Drosophila melanogaster: one gene and its partner. Changing the gene in region 1 together with any one later gene gives a genetic interaction. Each region holds a gene or a part of one and is shown in the gene's direction. Other genes may lie near its edges. The genes, in order: Vsp37A and r.

Region 1 (8,745 bases):
CACCCCGCTCTCCACAGCCCAGAGCAGTATGCGTGTGTGCTTTCACATGCATGCCGAATTACTCATGTCACGACGGAGCGAAAAGACAACAGGAGAACAAATTTAGTGGAACTGAGCAAATGGCATTGCCAGCTGACCCCAGCGGAGCTGCACTTACAAGTTGCAACACGCCGAACAGAAGTGTTGCAAAACAGTCAGATCTTAGGATTTAGCTAGTTTACCATGTATGGCCTCGAATGATTTTCATTCGGATTTCTTTTTTGTGACAGCGACCCACGCGAAACATACAAATTTTGTATTTCACTTTGGGCTAAAAATTTAAACGCAAACAGTGGAGTGACATCATGCTGAGCACGAGCGAAACACGAAATTAAATTCATGTATTCAGAGAAACACTTTTTCCCTAATTGCTGATGGACACGGGAGTTTTTCCTTATCACCTGGCGGTGGGGGTTTATCTTTATCATGTTTGCACAGCGATAAGTTGGATAATTGGGTAGAATACAAGCACGGCATCCGACTTGGCATTGGAATTCTTATTTCCAGCTGCAGTTTGAATGCGCGCCCAAATTTGGGAACTATGCAATACTTAAAATGCAACTGCGGAGCTGGGAGAGCGGGCAAAACAGGATGTTGGGTGGGAGAGCGAATGAGAGGGGAGATCTGCTTGCCCTTCAACGAGAGACAGCAACAACAATGGAGTTGCCAGAAAGGGAATATTAACGGAATGAAAATCAGAAAGAGAGAGCGAGAGAAAGGTGGATAATGAATCAACGCATCAACAATCAAAAATAGGCAATGCTGTTTAACTATGTACACCAGATAGCTAGATGTAAAAGGAATTTCCTTCCCTTTTCACACTCTCTTACTCTCGTAAAAAAAACTGCAACACGCCAACAAAACGAAAGGCCAACTTCACACGCACACCAATACGTTGCTCAAACAATACCCGCACACTTTTACACGTACACGTACATACTGAGCGAATAACTTTGTTGCTCATTGCTAATTTGTCATAAACATTAAATGCAGCACATACTACGGTGGGAAACAGTAAACAAAAATAAAGGTAAAGTTCTCAAAACGAGGTGAGCCACGCACGACACCAAATAAGCGAACAACTGGCGACAAAGCGACGCGCGTTTCGGTTTTTCTGCTGATTCCCGACAACAACAAGTGTCTAATCGACGGGGCCTATCGATATACCCGATAATACTCAACGCCGGGGCGCTCCAGGCACGGCGCATGCGTGACACGATGTCCAACACTGGTTGAGCGCGAAGAACTGGTATTTTCAAATAGTTGGACTTATTATTGGTAATTCTATGATAGTAATAAACACAGCACTTCTGTCCAAGGCCACAATTGCTAGGGGAACAAGAACTTTTATGTAATTGTATGTAAATACTAAAAGTATCCTAATAATGACTGATTTAGTTCATCGAAGTCTGGGTAAGCCAAATTTTCTCCAGTTCACTGAAATAAACCCAGAGGGCTTTGGTCAAAGACATAAATATTTCCATACCCTACTATCTTCTCTTGCCATCTTTCTGTTTCCCTTAAAACTACACTTATTGCCATTATCAGGACTGTATGATGATGTCGACGAATTTAACATGACACTACAAAATTCCATCAGTATCGCCCAGTTGAATTTGTCCTCTTCTGAGCTTTTCCTATGCTGCCTCTTCTCCAGCGTGGGCCTTATCAAAGCCAGCAGGGCAGCAACACTGCTAAAGAAACCGCAAGAAGCAGCAAAGCGTGTCTGCCGTTCGTAGGAGAAGAGGTTCGGTTCACTCGCGACTTTCAGCATTTCTGCTAGTTCCACGTTTCTTCGCTCTTTCCCCACCGCATTTCTCTTTTATGATTCGTACTGCTTGCAAGCTACGTACGTTAGAGGTCTATGACCAAAGGCCAGGCCGAAACAGAGCTTACCGCCCGTCCCCCAAAATATTAAGGAAAATGATAACGAATAAGAGAGGCACAAATTTTTTTCAGTTGGGTTACGTGAGAGGGGTTCAAAGCCCCCGGCCATTCACTGGCGTCTAAAAGGCAAAAGATCTGTGAGATTTAGTTTTGTTCGGTGGGTTCCAAACATTTTTTAGGTAAATTTGGTGTAGTTCTAACGCACAGCAGTTAGAAAATAGAAAAGATTTTTGTGATACCCGCGATTATAAACGTTCCGCTTTGGCGCACCAAAGAAATGTGCGCTACGCTCCAAGCAGTTGGCTATATCGGTGCTCTTCCCACACTCAAGAAATTAGGGAGATCAGGTGACAGATGACAGATCTTTTCAGCAGAGATATCAATTTACGAGGTGACCATTCCTCCTAACTGCATCCCCAGAACGCCAGGCAGTTGAATGCCCATGAAAAGGAAAGTTAAAGGATCAACTGGTCATGTGCCGCTTGCGTCCAAGGTGGAAAATCTTAGAGGGCAAGGTATAGCGATTTGAAGCCGTTACAGCGGACTGCGCAGTCGCGGCGCACTGCCCGTTTACCGTTACCACTCGACGCGGCTCCTTTTTGATATTTATGTTTCTCTTCGTGTTTATCGACCTTTGTTCGTTTAGATTGTCTTACGTACATTGTGTGTTGTTGTTCGAGCGGCGGACACAATAAATTATTTTTAGAAAATAGTTTCGTTTTCGCTAATATATACATTTATGCGTGGCTCGGAGTTTTAAAGTTGCTTTGTTGATGGTTTACGTTTTGCTGCGCTGCTTGCGTTTTTGTTGCTAGTGCAGAAGCAGAAAGTGGAAGTTTTAAAATTTCACTTTCCCGAAATTTATATAATGCTCTTTGATGGTTTTCGTATCAAAACCGCCAGAAGCAACAACGATCTGCTTTACATTTCTTTGCGTTTTTGTTTCATTATTTTACTCACCCTGTTTCCCGCGGCGAATGTAGAAAACGAAGAAGTGATATGGCGAGGAGAGGAGGCAGAGGCAATCTAATTCAAACGGTACTCTTCCTAGATTCGCCCCTTTTCTTTTGACTGTATTTTCTGCAGGGCGGAATGCGCCGTTTTTGCTTGCACTACTATTTGTACGCACTTGCACCTTTGACTTTTCGTTGTTTCTGGACACCGAAAAAACAAAAACTAAATGTAAAAACAAAATAGATCGGGCCTTTGGCTACCGCTACACACACACACGGAACACACTCGAAAAAACAGCTGGCGCGTTAATTACATTAAAAATTCGCAAGGAAGCCTTCGAACAATGGCAGAAATGCAACTAATTAGCAATTATTTGCAGATTTTTTTTTGTTTTCTTTACGCCTCTTCTTTGCACAAATTCCAATTAGACGATGCGGCGGCAGCCATCTGCAAATGCAATTTGTTGTTGAGTCCCGTTATTTCGCAGACAGAGCAAGTGCAGTTATAGGCGAAACTGGGGGAGCGGACGAGCGAAAGAAATAGCCAATGACCTCCCCTTGATGACGGGCTATTAATATTCATTTACATGTCTCTTCTTGTTTTGTTATGTGCGCAATGGAACAGATGACTCCGCATAGGAGGATGCTGCTTGCTGCTCTTCGATTTGTTGCTTTATTAATAGAAGTCACCGAATGCCAATCTCCGATTGGAATCACAGCCGCTCGCGGGGACACCGATTACCGGAGTTGTTACTTGGTTAGTTAGCCAGCGCCAATAGCCGTGATTAATCCCGTTGCAGCCTGCCAATATGTTACGCTTTTGCTTTTGTTATTGTGTTCGCTTGTTATCGCTTAACGATACGATTTGTCCGCGGTCAACGTCGCGTCGCTGCTTATTGTTGTTGCGTTTTGTTATTGTTGTTATTGCTGGCGATGGGAGATCTTCGATTAGTTTAACTTTTGCAGTAGTGTGGCTGTCGCTTGAGTGTCTGCAAATACCACAGCGACGCACACCAAAGACTAAATGTTTGAAAACATTTTAATTTCTTACGAAATTTAAAAGTAGAACTCTACAAGAAATTTAAAAGCGTTCTTCTATTTTATCAATCGGTATGTGCTGGTGGGAACTACAGCTACTCCTTGAACCCCTCCACCTCGCTGGCTTCGAAGGGCACCTCCTCTACCTTGTGGAATCCGGAGAACTTGATGATTTTGCCGTTGCCTTCCACCTTCAGGTGCTTGGCGAACTATTGGGCCGGTGAAAGGGCCAGCTCCTCCTCCGTCTTGTAGCCGTAGTACTTGGCCCAGTCGTTGTAGAACTTTACAAGAAATTTAATAGTGTCTTTCTATCCCATTAACCGGTATCCGATGCGGAAGGACGCGAATCCATTTTGAATCCGCATCGGTTTCCCATTGACGCCACAACATAGTTAAGTCCTATTTGTAAGCTTTAATGGCAATAAACATACGATGGCTAAAAAAAAATAATGGTTCACTGAGCTGGTGGGAACTACAGTTACTCCTTGACCCGCTCCACCTCGCTGGCGTCGAAGGGCACCTCCTCCACCTTGTGGAATCCAGAGAACCTGATGATCTTGCCGGTCCCCTCGACCTTCAGGTGCTTGGCGAACTGTTGGGCCGGCGAAAGGGCCATCTCCTCCTCCGTCTTGTAGCCGTAGTACTTGGCCCAGTCGTTGCGTCCGGTGTAGACCATATAGCAAACGAGGCCGAATGCCTGCCAGGCCAGAACGGCGTACCCGATGCTCAGGCGCCGCTTCCACAGCTCCGCCCGGTGCTCCGGTATGGGATTCGTGTTGCGCCGCACCCAGCGGCGCAGCCACTTCATCTCGAACAGTGCCATTGTGTGCTTATGTGCTGCTATAACTAAGTTCGTTATGTAAAGATGCAAAATGTAAACAAGCGACTGCAGCTGGCAGCCAAAGTTGCCACACTGTTCAAATCCACCAAATGGTTCGAACCAAGGATGCAAGAAACTAATTATTTGAAAACAAAATAAAGTTAAGCTTATTTTACAAGCCAAAGCGAAGTCACTTCTAATATGTGTTTTGCAGATGCGATAATGCCCTGTGCCTCATTTCCACGTTTTTAATTCAGGAAAAGTGCACGTTAAAGCTAAATGAAAACCAAGACGTATGAGAATCATTATTGTAGCGAAATCTTTGGACGAAAGCGCGAGCGACTTGAATTCCCGCTGACCGCCTCAGACGGTAGCCGAATTTGGCGGCAAGCTAGCCAAGGTGGCAGCACTGAAATGGTCACAGAACGAAAATGCAACTTCGATCGGGGCATATAAAACCAGTGCTTCCAATCCGAAGGCAAAGCATAAAAGATCAGAACATCAGTAGCCGAAGATTGGCTGAGTAGCACGGACAGCGGGCAAGTCCTTTGAAACGTTGGTAGTTTGCAACCGGGTTTGCCAACTTCCTTTGGAGTTCAGTGGTGCTCAACTATCGACACAACTATCCTCGGCTTTCGCAAAACTCAGTAAACCGGTAAACTTCCGTTCATACAGTTCACAATTCTAAATTTAAAATAGATCTAACGCAGACACATTGACATTCGAAAATTGGGATTGAAAACTCAAGATGCCGACTACACCACAGGATCTTGCCCTTGCCCACTCTCTTGCTCAAAGACCTCCGACCGATAGCAGTGAGGCCAAGGAGCAGGAGGCCGGCGAATCGGACAACCTGCCCAACCTGTGCACTTTGTCGCTGGACGAACTGAAACAGCTGGACAGGGATCCCGAGTTCTTCGAGGACTTCATCGAGGAGATGTCCGTGGTGCAGTACCTGAACGAGGAGCTCGATTCAATGATGGACCAGGTGGAGATTATATCAAGTGAGTAGGTCACGGCCCGAGGCTGGCAAATCTACCTAACCCTTCTGTATTCCAATCCAGGAGAGAACGAGTGCAAGGGCATTCATCTGGTAGAGCTGAAGCGCCGACTCAGCGACGATTTTACAGCTTTAAAAAACCTAGGCGAGAAATGCGACCGGCTGAACAAGAAGTACTTCAAGAAGTCGGATGAATACGCGCCTCAGCATATCAGGGTGAGTTCCCTTAAAAAGCCAATGGCGTGGGAGTTACCATTCCCATCCGTAACTTGCATTCCATTTCCCCTGAAGGAGCTTCTTCAGATTGCAGCTTCCAATGCCGATGGCGACTGCGATCGTCACGTGGAGCACTTCCTGAACGGAAAGACCGACGTGCAGACTTTCCTCAACACGTACCAGTGGTCGAAGAAGATCAGTACCGAGCGCAAGGCCAAAGAGGAGCGCCTGGGCACCCAGCTCAGTGCTCTGGAGCGGGCCGGTATCTAGGATTGCCGTGACACTCCCTGGCCGTGCCATCCAGAGCACGGTCCTCCCACTCCTCGCACTCCTCCCACACCGCCACGATCCGCGTCGCAATAGTAGAGAATATCAATGTTAGTAAATAGAGAAGTTAAGCCAGAGATGGGGCGACATAATCATGGCACACACGGCCACGCATTCCCAGAACAGAAAGCAAAACCTTGTTGAAGTAATAAGAAGGTGCACTAGTTGTTCGTTTCCCAAGATCGTTTACTTGGGAAGAGGGTCTTGTTATTCTATCCGTACCCCGAAACGAAGCACTATGTGCAACAGAACGCAGTCCGGAATCGCATGTATTACCTATTTACTTTTTTTCCTTTTGGTTAATCGTGAGCCCCATCCATATATTCTCTCCATATATACATATATATTAAAAAAAAACTATGCTTTAAATGATGCCGTCTCTTTCTATTTAAGGGAAAGGTTTTTCAAAACAATGGTTTTTGGAATGATTTTTGTTTTGATTTGAATAAAATCGAACCGCAAAGGATAACACAACCTTATTAGTTTGAAATAATTTTATTATATTGAAGAATAATAATGCTTAATAACAGATATATAAAATTTCTTTTTTCAACAGTGGCTTGTGCTAGTATCTTAATTTAGTTTGCATAAGCTAAAAGCAATTAAACAAACATAACTACGTTTTCTCCATTATTATTCATATGTACATATATTACTAAGCATTCCAATTGTTAAAATCGAAAACAATCGAAAGTTTCGTTCTACATCATTCGTTCGAAATATGAATGATCCGGTTATCATGGTATTTTTTTGGTATTTTAGCTATATAGTTCGCCGATTTATCGGCCGTACCTCTTCCCCGATCTCGGCCAGAAGCGGACTGGGCCAGTTGGCTGATAGTGCTCGTTCGGCTGCCCCGCTGTCGCCCTTCCCCTCCTCCACCGAGGTCAAGTAATCTCGAGTGATAAGCGGCAGTGAACTCTCGTCTCTGCTTCTCCATTCCACAAGAAACTATAAATAACAGACTACCCACAAGAGACTAGTGCAATTGCAGCAATGGCCCAAACGGAAGTGCTGGTGTTCGGCTCGGCCATCATTGACTTTATAAGGTAGGTGGGCAGAGAAGGCTCGATCCCAAGGAGAATCTTACAAATACAACACCTTTTCCAGCTACACGACCCGTCTACCGAAAGCCGGAGAAACGCTCCATGGGCATCGCTTTCAGATTGGCTACGGCGGCAAGGGCGCCAATCAGTGTGTGGCTGCCGCGCGCCAGGGATCCCGAACAGCTCTGGTGGCCAAACTGGGGGCAGACACATTCGGCAGCGACTACCTGAGACATCTGCGCGAGGAGCGCGTCAATGTAAACCACGTCGAGCAGCTGGCGGAGGAAACGACGGGCGTGGCCCAGATAGCCGTGTCAGATGGCGGCGAGAACAACATCATCATTGTGGTGGGCGCCAACAATCGACTGAGCTCGTGTGACGTTTCCTCGGCGAAGGCGCTCTTCCAGGAAGCCAAAGTTCTGGTGTGCCAGCTGGAGACGCCCGTTGAGGCCACCCTGACCGCTCTGAGAGCCTTCCGGGGCGTGTCCATCGTCAATGCGGCTCCGGCCATGGCCGACACACCCCCCGAACTTCTTCAGTTGGCCAGCATCTTCTGTGTGAACGAAAGCGAGGCGGCACTGATGACTCAGATGCCCGACATTGGCAACATAGAGTAAGTGCGAGTAAGCGTAAACCAGTCGTACTGCCAACTAAATCGGGTCCCACTTCTGCCAGGCACGCCGAAGATGCGGTTGGAAAGCTGATAGCGGCAGGTGCCAACACGGTGATCATAACTCTGGGCAAACTAGGAGCCGTTTTCGGTTCCGCCGACTCCAAGGGCGTGTGCCAGCATGTGGCTGCGCCGAGTGTGCCGCCCGAAAAAGTGGTGGACACGACGGGGGCTGGAGACGCCTTCATTGGGGCCTTGGCCCACAACTTGGCCCGTCATCCAACGAGGAAACTGGAGGAGCACATAGCCGCCGCCTGTGCCGTGGCCTCGCAATCCGTTCAGCTACCCGGGACGCAGTCGAGCTTCCCACACGCTTAGAGGGAAATCCCCAAAAGAATGCAACGCAACAATAAATCTCTATCCTGACGTACAATGATCTATTTAATGGTAATCGTAAGTATAAAAAGATTATGGTCCACATGGGTGTGCTTCGGCTGGCAATTCAGCGTCCAGAATCCAGTGGGTTGCGGACTACAGATGGAGGCGTGGCAGCTTCACTTCTTTCCCGACTTCTTGATGCCGCCTCCTACGAGAGGACCCTTCTTTGAGGCGTTCGCCTTGGCCGCCTCCAGAGCCTTCTGCTGCTCCTTCTGCTTTTGCTTGAAGGCCATGTCGTCCTCGTCCAGGTCTTTGGAGTCCTTCTTCGGCGCCTTCAGAGGCTTCTTCTTACCGCCCTCGCGTCCAGACATACTTGCTCGCTTATACTGCGTGGGAGGAAAAATCTATGAAAATCGGGTTGGATTCCACAA
Region 2 (9,667 bases), about 16 Mb from region 1:
GTTTCCGTTCAGTCTGCAAGTGATTATACAAATATTAGAAAGGGTAACCAAACAAACAAATTTTACAGAACGGTACAGCATAGAACGTGGTGGTCAATGGTTTCAATTAAGCCTAATCAGTGGTTCCCCTTGTGGTTGAGCTGTTCGTCCGTTATTGTACTACTTGCCGAAGGTCCACCTCCTGCTCGAAGAACTCCTCCTCCTCGCTGTCATCGGACTCCGACTCCGGCTCCGGCTCCGAGTTGCGGGCGGCCTGTTGATAGCGGAACTGCGAGTTGGGCAGCGGCAGTAACTCCGCTGGTTTATCCTCCTCAGGTTCCTCCACTGATTCCTCCTCGGGCGCCGCATCCATGGACTCCTCGATGGTGCGCGAGTGGTCCTCGATCTCTTCGTCGTCCAGATGCGGTGCTCCATTGGCGAACGAGGCGAAGCGCAAAGGATCACGCAGTTTGCCCATCACCGCCCACTGCTTGCACTCCGGACTGTTGACGTACTTGCGCAGGTCCGCCAGCGATTTCGAGGTCTCCACGGCCGTCTGCTGTTCGTACTCCTCCTGGGTGAGCATGCGCCTCTTTAGCGGAAAACGGCGGCGATACATGAACTTGATCTGGTTCGTCCACGAAATGGGGAAGTAGTGGGCCACAAAGACCAGCACCATGATGAAGATCACGGCGCTGGTGTGCCAGCTGCTGAAGTAAGCCATAACGGCGCCAATGGCCTGCAGCACCCACATGACGATGGTTTGCGATCGAGGATTCTTGGGCGGACCAATGCGATAGCAGATCTGTAGAATAATCGAGGCAATTAGCTGGGGTTATCTAATCAAAAGGGAATATCAAGTGACTACGCACCAGGAACGAGATCAGTCCGGTGATCACCAGATAGCCCAGCACATGGTCGCGGTAGGTGATCAGAATCAAACGCAGATTGTCCGCCAGCTGTTTGATCACATAGAAGCCAATGGTCCAGCCGCCAATTAGGACGCCATACATCATGGTACGTCGCGGAAAGAGTTTGGCGGCCAAATAGATGACCACCAGCAGGGAGGCGCATATGCCGATGACAATGCCGACCAGATAGTAGAACACACTGTTCTTTGCTAGCCGCCGGGCGCTGAAGAGGATCAGTATGCCGACGGCGAACTGTGCGAGACGCCACAGATCCAGCGGAATGCTATTCAGAATGACGGTGTACGCCTGGCGGGAGGAAATCCCGATGCACTGCTGCTCGAAGGGCGAGAGCTGCAGCAGCTGGCGCTTCTGCGCGAACAGGGTGATGCTGAACAGCGATTGCTTGTCCTTGTAGTGCTGCAACACCTCCTCCGGCGTCTTCCCACCGTACTGGGAATAATCATCGCTCCCGATGGCCAGGACGAACTCCACAGTCTCGAAGAGACTTGACACCGTCAGCCGTTTACCCGGATAGCAGAACGTGCGCAGAGTCTGCAGTCCCAAGATGTTCTCCGACAAATTGATGTATGTGCCCGGCGTCAGGTAGGCGACGTCCGAGGAAGCCGTATTGCCAGGAATACCCGATGTGAAATATCCAGCCACGGTTAGCATCAGTAGTCCAGCCGAATGCATTATGAACGGTTGCAATGGCGTTAATCTTATCAATCAGTGCGCTTTCAGTCTGTTGCTCTCGCAGGACGTTCGCTTGTTAAATGCTGACTTGCTTATGCTTGATGTTTTGATGTTTACTTTACTTTAAGGAATCGAATGAAAAAGCAACGCCGCTTTGGTTTATGTCCTCACTCACGACGGGACGGGCAGTATATCGTAACGTAAGAAAAATGTATCGATAGGTGTGTGTGTGACTACACTGTTGTGATTTCAAATTTGTGACTAACCATTTAATTGTGGATTATTTATTTCCTTTGGAATACTTTGCAGAACACCCCATTTAAACATGTTTGCTAATATTATTACAAATATCTTATCTTATTCATAACAATAAATGAATATATAACGTTCTTGCCAAGTTCCCAACCTGCAATATTACTTCTAGTAAAGTTCCACACCGCCGAGCTAAGCTCTTGCTGTGGCATTTTTTAGCACATAATGCACGAAGATTCCGATTCAACCAAGGCGGTGAATTCAGTTGTTCGACTTTGATTTTCCAGACGTTAATTGGAGCCAATTTGCAAGCAAACACAGTTAAATGCTCAAACTAAACATATCCGAGCAGTGCGAAGTTAACCAGCTCTAAAAGCGGTGTCGCAAAGTAAACAAATCAAGTTGTCAATCGAATTAAAGTCGAAACCAAAACGTGTTCACAACTACAAGTGCAGCAAAGAGAGAGCTTCGCTTGAAAGTACACGGAATCGTAAGTGAGCTGTAGTTGTAACGGGTGCAGATGGGAAAAGGATAACTTGATGGCGATACTAATGCATCGTAGCTTAAGGATTCTCAGTTGGTTAATCCTCAATTCCTGCCCAAAGTCCAATTCAAAGTTAAAGTCAATGTTATTGTTATTCTCATTTGCTGACCGAACCGGTTTCCAATTGGATCCAAACTTCTCACACGTGCTTACGCACACACAAAACGCACCCTCTCACACTCGCTCTTCCTCTTTCTTCTCCGCCGCTAGTCATCGTGTAAACAAACCGTGAATGGCAATATCAAATGACAACAGGAACTTGAAACGCTTGATAAGCAGTGTCCATTCCCAATCAGAACCGTGTTGTGCCCCGCTCAACATGTTGCCAGACAGTTAAATACATGCATACATTCATCTATCGCGGCTTCCTATTGGATTCTTTGTATATTTTCTTGGGCCGGCAAACTGTGTGCGTGTGACGGTGTGTTTATAAACACATGTGTTTTTTGAACAAGATAACCTGTGGAATTATATTACATTACATTTAAAATCGAGGGTATGCACGCGCTCTGCGTAAACATATAGCATAGTCATAGCATATACTCATTAAGTAAAGTTCCCAGAGTCGCCGAATATTGTTATCAGATTTTCGACTCAATATTGTGTCTACTTGCCTTCGTAGAGATATGATCTTTTAATTAATTAACTTTGCTCGTTTATTTAAGACGGTTTTCGAGTGACAGGTACTAAAGAATACCCTATGGTTTCCAATCCTCCCCAGCAACTCGTCCAATATGGCCTCTACGGACTGTTACCTCGCACTGGAGGATGGCACAGTGTTGCCCGGGTACTCCTTTGGCTACGTTCCCTCGGAGAATGAATCCAAAGTGGGTTTTGGTGGCGAGGTGGTCTTCCAAACGGGCATGGTTGGCTACACGGAGGCGCTCACGGATCGATCGTACAGTGGTCAGATCCTGGTGCTTACCTATCCACTGATCGGTAACTATGGGGTACCAGCGCCGGATGAGGACGAGCACGGACTGCCGCTGCACTTCGAGTGGATGAAAGGCGTCGTCCAGGCCACCGCCTTGGTGGTGGGCGAGGTGGCTGAAGAGGCATTTCACTGGCGCAAATGGAAGACGCTGCCCGATTGGCTGAAGCAGCACAAGGTGCCCGGAATTCAAGACATTGATACTCGAGCCCTGACCAAAAAACTGAGGGAGCAGGGAAGCATGCTAGGCAAGATTGTCTACGAGAAACCGCCGGTCGAAGGGCTGCCCAAGTCCAGTTTCGTAGATCCGAACGTCAGGAATTTGGCCAAGGAGTGCAGCGTTAAGGAGCGACAAGTGTACGGTAATCCCAATGGCAAGGGACCACGGATCGCCATTCTGGACTGTGGACTGAAGCTCAACCAGTTGCGCTGCCTGCTGCAACGTGGCGCCTCGGTGACCTTGCTCCCCTGGAGCGCTCGTCTCGAGGATGAGCAGTTCGACGCCCTCTTTCTGTCTAACGGACCTGGTAATCCGGAGAGCTGCGACCAGATCGTCCAACAGGTGGGTCACAATTGAATCATTTGGATAGAATATAATGCTAATTTAACTAATCTTTTGTTTCTAGGTGAGAAAAGTGATTGAGGAGGGTCAAAAGCCCGTCTTTGGAATATGTCTGGGTCACCAGCTGTTAGCGAAGGCAATCGGCTGCTCTACTTACAAAATGAAGTACGGCAATCGAGGACACAATCTGCCCTGCCTGCACCGAGCAACTGGACGTTGCCTGATGACGTCGCAGAATCACGGATACGCGGTCGATTTGGAGCAGTTGCCCGACGGCTGGTCGGAGCTATTTGTGAATGCCAACGACGGCACCAACGAGGGCATTGTCCATGCCAGCAAGCCCTACTTTTCGGTTCAGTTCCATCCGGAGCATCATGCTGGACCGCAGGACACGGAGTTCCTGTTCGATGTCTTTATGGAGAGCATTCAACAGAAGGATTTGACCATTCCGCAGCTGATCGAGCAGCGACTGCGTCCGACTACGCCTGCCATAGATTCGGCTCCAGTGATGCCGCGCAAAGTCCTAATCCTGGGATCCGGTGGACTGTCCATTGGTCAGGCTGGCGAGTTTGACTACTCCGGATCGCAGGCCATCAAGGCCATGAGGGAATCAAACATTCAAACAGTGCTCATCAATCCGAACATAGCCACCGTTCAGACCTCTAAGGGAATGGCCGACAAGTGCTACTTCCTTCCCCTAACACCTCACTATGTTGAGCAGGTGATTAAGTCGGAGCGTCCGAACGGAGTACTGCTCACCTTTGGCGGCCAGACCGCTCTCAATTGTGGCGTGCAACTGGAGCGAGCCGGAGTTTTCTCCAAATACAATGTCCGCATTTTGGGCACACCCATCCAGTCGATCATCGAGACGGAGGATCGCAAGCTCTTTGCCGAGCGGGTCAACGAGATTGGCGAGCAGGTGGCGCCATCTGAGGCTGTGTACTCCGTTGCCCAGGCACTGGATGCGGCCAGTCGCTTGGGTTATCCGGTGATGGCCCGTGCTGCCTTCTCCCTGGGCGGACTGGGTTCCGGGTTCGCCAACAACGAGGAGGAGCTGCAGAGCCTGGCCCAACAGGCACTGGCCCACTCGAGCCAACTAATTGTGGACAAATCCCTGAAGGGTTGGAAGGAGGTGGAGTACGAGGTGGTGCGCGATGCCTACAACAACTGCATTACCGTATGCAACATGGAGAACTTCGATCCCCTGGGCATCCACACGGGCGAGAGTATTGTGGTGGCCCCATCGCAGACCCTCTCGGATCGCGAGTACCAAATGCTCCGCAGCACCGCCCTGAAGGTTATCCGTCACTTTGGTGTCGTTGGCGAGTGCAACATTCAGTACGCCTTGTGTCCCCATTCGGAGCAGTACTACATTATCGAGGTGAACGCCCGACTGTCGCGCAGCTCCGCGTTGGCCAGCAAGGCCACCGGCTATCCACTGGCCTATGTGGCCGCCAAGTTGGCTTTGGGATTGCCCCTGCCAGATATCAAGAACTCGGTGACGGGCAATACGACGGCCTGCTTTGAGCCATCCCTCGATTACTGTGTGGTCAAGATTCCACGCTGGGATTTGGCCAAATTCGTGCGGGTTAGCAAGCACATTGGCAGCTCGATGAAAAGTGTCGGTGAGGTGATGGCCATCGGTCGCAACTTCGAGGAAGCGTTCCAAAAAGCCCTGCGCATGGTGGACAGCGATGTGCTTGGCTTTGATCCGGATGTGGTTCCGCTTAACAAGGAGCAGCTGGCCGAGCAGCTTTCGGAGCCGACGGATCGTCGTCCCTTCGTCATTGCCGCTGCTTTGCAATTGGGCATGAGCCTTAGGGAGCTGCATCAACTAACCAATATCGATTATTGGTTTCTGGAAAAGCTGGAAAGGATCATCTTACTGCAGTCCCTGCTCACCCGTAATGGCAGTCGAACCGATGCCGCTCTGCTGTTGAAGGCCAAGCGTTTTGGTTTTTCGGACAAGCAGATAGCTAAGTACATTAAGAGCACGGAGCTGGCTGTTCGTCACCAGCGGCAGGAGTTTGGCATCCGCCCGCATGTCAAGCAGATCGACACGGTGGCCGGCGAATGGCCCGCCAGTACCAACTATCTGTACCACACATATAACGGAAGCGAGCACGATGTGGACTTCCCCGGCGGACACACTATTGTGGTGGGCTCGGGCGTCTATCGTATCGGATCCTCAGTGGAGTTTGATTGGTGTGCCGTGGGCTGCCTGCGCGAATTGAGGAAGCTACAGCGACCCACCATCATGATTAACTACAATCCTGAAACGGTTTCCACCGACTACGATATGTGCGATCGCTTGTATTTCGAGGAGATTAGCTTCGAGGTGGTCATGGACATCTACGAGATGGAGAATAGCGAGGGCATCATTCTGTCCATGGGCGGCCAGCTGCCCAACAATATAGCCATGGATCTGCATCGCCAGCAGGCGAAGGTGTTGGGCACATCGCCGGAGTCCATCGACTGTGCCGAAAATCGATTTAAATTCTCGCGCATGCTGGACAGGAAGGGTATCTTGCAGCCACGCTGGAAGGAGCTGACCAACCTACAGTCGGCCATCGAATTTTGCGAGGAGGTTGGCTATCCCTGTCTGGTTAGGCCATCCTATGTGCTCTCCGGTGCGGCCATGAATGTGGCCTATTCCAATCAGGATCTGGAGACATATCTGAACGCCGCCTCCGAGGTGAGTCGCGAGCATCCGGTTGTCATTTCGAAGTTCCTCACCGAGGCCAAGGAGATCGATGTGGATGCAGTGGCATCCGATGGACGCATCCTGTGCATGGCTGTTTCGGAGCACGTGGAGAATGCCGGAGTGCATTCAGGTGATGCCACGCTGGTTACCCCACCGCAGGATCTGAATGCGGAGACCCTGGAGGCCATTAAACGGATCACATGCGATTTGGCCAGCGTACTGGATGTCACCGGTCCCTTCAACATGCAGCTAATTGCCAAGAACAACGAGCTGAAGGTCATCGAATGCAATGTCCGTGTGTCGCGATCCTTCCCCTTCGTCTCCAAGACGCTGGACCACGACTTTGTGGCCACGGCGACGCGTGCGATTGTGGGACTCGATGTGGAGCCACTGGATGTGCTCCATGGCGTCGGCAAGGTGGGCGTCAAGGTGCCACAGTTCAGTTTCTCGCGGCTCGCGGGCGCGGATGTACAGCTGGGCGTCGAGATGGCCTCCACCGGTGAGGTTGCCTGCTTCGGGGACAACCGCTATGAGGCGTATCTCAAGGCCATGATGTCCACGGGCTTCCAGATACCCAAGAACGCCGTACTTCTCTCCATTGGCAGTTTCAAGGTTTGTTGGCCACTCCATTGATTATTGATATTAGTTACTCCATTAATAACTCCATTCATCTGCAGCACAAGATGGAGCTGCTGCCTTCCATACGGGATCTGGCCAAGATGGGTTACAAGCTATACGCTTCCATGGGCACTGGCGACTTTTATGCCGAACACGGAGTTAATGTGAGTATATTTATGTCTGTGTGCTTATTGTATATCATGCAACTTTAATCAAAATCCATTGGAGATGCGAGTCAACAAAGTTGAGTAGTTTCAATACTCATTTCCTACTATTTGTTTTCCCTGACTTGGTTTACAAATTGAACGGTTGTTTATATTGCATTATTTATTTTCCATGACATTGGTTTACAAATTCAATAACATTATTATCATAGAGAAATTACGTTGATTTCAAGATTACTAATTACGAAAATATATATGGCGCACATGGTATGGACAATAATTATGGCCCATAACTATATATATATTTCTATCTCTATCTCTAACCGCCCTTATCACAACTGGTTTATCTGTTATCAATATATCAATATATCACTAATCGCCGGGATTTAGCAATTTGGCTACTATATGGTAGTATTATCTTTAGTGTCTCTAGTTGAATGCGCCCTTGAGCTTCTGTGCGTTGCGCTTGAGGATCTCCTTGAGTTCATCCCGCTTGGCCTCGGATGGGGCTACTCTTTGGACCAGTTGCTCCGTTTTGCTGCCCAGCATTTGCACCTTATCCGTGTCGAGGGAGAGCCTTTGAAGGATTCCGTTTAGCGAGAGAAATGATTCCTCCTTGGCTGTTTCCTCCGATTTTGATTTGATTCCCGTTTGCGGCTTAAGGCTATCCACTTCAGGAGAATCTATTGGTTCTCTATCTCTTTGGACATTGGGTTTTTCTTCTATGCGACTTTCTATTTCCCGAAGCAACGCGCTCTTGATCTCCTCCTCCTGTAGGGGTTCAATGGCGTTCGCATCCTCTTGGTGGTGAGCTCTTAGAATCCCATTGAGCTGATGGTTTTCCAGATGGGGCATATGCTTCTGCATGGCCAGCGGTTCTGGAGTGTGTATCTGCACGACATGCTCCTGGAACTTGATGGATTTCCTTGGCGCTGGCGGAGATTCAACCACCGTGGAGGGACTGCCGCCCGATGACGTTGGTATATGCGATTCACACATGCGTTCCATATCGCTGGCTGCGTTCTGTAGTTCCTGGACGAAGTGCTGTGCCTGCTGCGAGCAACCGAGGTGCTGATAAAGGCGGCACAATCTTTGCCCATGCTCCAGATAAAGCTGTGCATGTCCACGGTTGCCAAACCGAATGGCACGAGCCAACATGGCCAGCGAATGATCCAGCAGAAGTTCGATCAGATTGCTCCTTCGCAGGATCTCCAAGCCGTTGTTCAGTTGCGGTTTCGCTGCTTCCTGGCTCTTGGAACTTTCCGGATTGGAGCGTGCCAATAGCAATTGGCGATCCAGGGAGTCGAGCGAGCAACGTCTTTGTTCCGTCGCCGAGATTTGAAATTGCTGAGTCGTGGCCCTTAAGAGCTGTGTCTTCCTGCGCAGCTTTCCTCTCGAGCGCTCCTGGTGCTGAGCCAATCCCAAGAGTCCCTTGGCATCGGTGATCTCCGTCCTTTCGGTTTTTTTTTTCGTTTCCACCTGCTGCCCGCCATTGTTTTCTTCACAGTTCTGCAGAGCGGGAAATCCCTGACGTGGACGCGAGAACTTGCCCCGTCCGTGCAGCTCCAGGTAATCCTGGCTAAAGAGATTCTCCAACAGTCGCTTGTACTCCAGTTGCGGGTAGAATTCCGGCGCGTGCTGAAGATTCCTCAGTGCCTGGATGACATGCAGCAGCGGTTGTTCCGCAATTCCGGCCATTATGCTGCGCAGCTTCATCAGCGTATCCTCTGGGATATGCTCGAATAGATTGCGCCGCTCAATGAAGTAGTCGCTCAGGTGTTTCTTGGCCAAACAGGCGTCGAAGGAGCGAATGAATCGAACCAATCGCTCGCCCAGAAACTCCTCTGGCCAATCATTGCTGTGCTGCTCACATTGCCAAAACATATGGGCTCTCAGCTGTTCGAGCAAAGCTCCCGGGGATTGGTCACAGGATGTGGTTGATTCGTCCACAAAGGTTTTGACCAGCAGCTTCATTAGTTGGAACACCTTCAATTGCATGGGCGTCAGGCAGTGCCGCTCGAGAAACTGTTCCGCCTGGGGAAAGACAATGCGCCATTCCAGTTCCCTGAAGGGATTTCGCGAACGCTTTGGTGCATAGCCCACTGGTACAACATGGAAGCCCATGGATCGAATACGTTTTTTCATCTGCTCCGTTGGCCATTGGAATTGTTCGGCAGTATGGAGGTTGGTCAAACGAGGACGAGCCCTCAGCCAAAACTCGAAGGCGCAATCCGGCCAGGAATTGGGCACATGAATGGCGGGCACCAGCTCCTCGCGAGCGGTATATACACTACAGCCGCGATACGAAC

Evidence for each region.
Region 2: of Vsp37A (region 1) and r, changing one suppresses a phenotype caused by changing the other (phenotypic suppression), as found in Drosophila melanogaster (one study listed by BioGRID).

What each region holds. Positions count from the first base shown.
Region 1 is NC_004354.4:616,406-625,150, forward strand, and holds Vsp37A (vacuolar protein sorting 37A), read left to right. Parts: upstream 1-5,124; 5' UTR 5,125-5,392; intron 5,393-5,400; exon of another isoform or gene 5,401-5,447; 5' UTR 5,448-5,485; coding exon 5,486-5,741; intron 5,742-5,801; coding exon 5,802-5,953; intron 5,954-6,028; coding exon 6,029-6,223; 3' UTR 6,224-6,646; downstream 6,647-8,745. Other genes in the region: CG13365 (uncharacterized protein), read right to left, coding at 4,396-4,740; CG13369 (uncharacterized protein), read left to right, coding at 7,277-7,329, 7,391-7,939, 8,002-8,314; CG13364 (uncharacterized protein), read right to left, coding at 8,491-8,685.
Region 2 is NC_004354.4:16,653,285-16,662,951, forward strand, and holds the start of r (rudimentary), read left to right. Parts: upstream 1-2,074; 5' UTR 2,075-2,325; intron 2,326-2,806; exon of another isoform or gene 2,807-2,875; intron 2,876-3,100; 5' UTR 3,101-3,113; coding exon 3,114-3,872; intron 3,873-3,936; coding exon 3,937-7,188; intron 7,189-7,253; coding exon 7,254-7,358; intron 7,359-7,613; exon of another isoform or gene 7,614-7,787; coding exon of another isoform or gene 7,788-9,667. Other genes in the region: Nemp (nuclear envelope integral membrane protein), read right to left, coding at 152-784, 852-1,583; CG15865 (uncharacterized protein), read right to left, coding at 7,788-9,667. UniProt on the Drosophila melanogaster protein: Multifunctional protein that encodes the first 3 enzymatic activities of the de novo pyrimidine pathway: carbamoylphosphate synthetase (CPSase; EC 6.3.5.5), aspartate transcarbamylase (ATCase; EC 2.1.3.2) and dihydroorotase (DHOase; EC 3.5.2.3).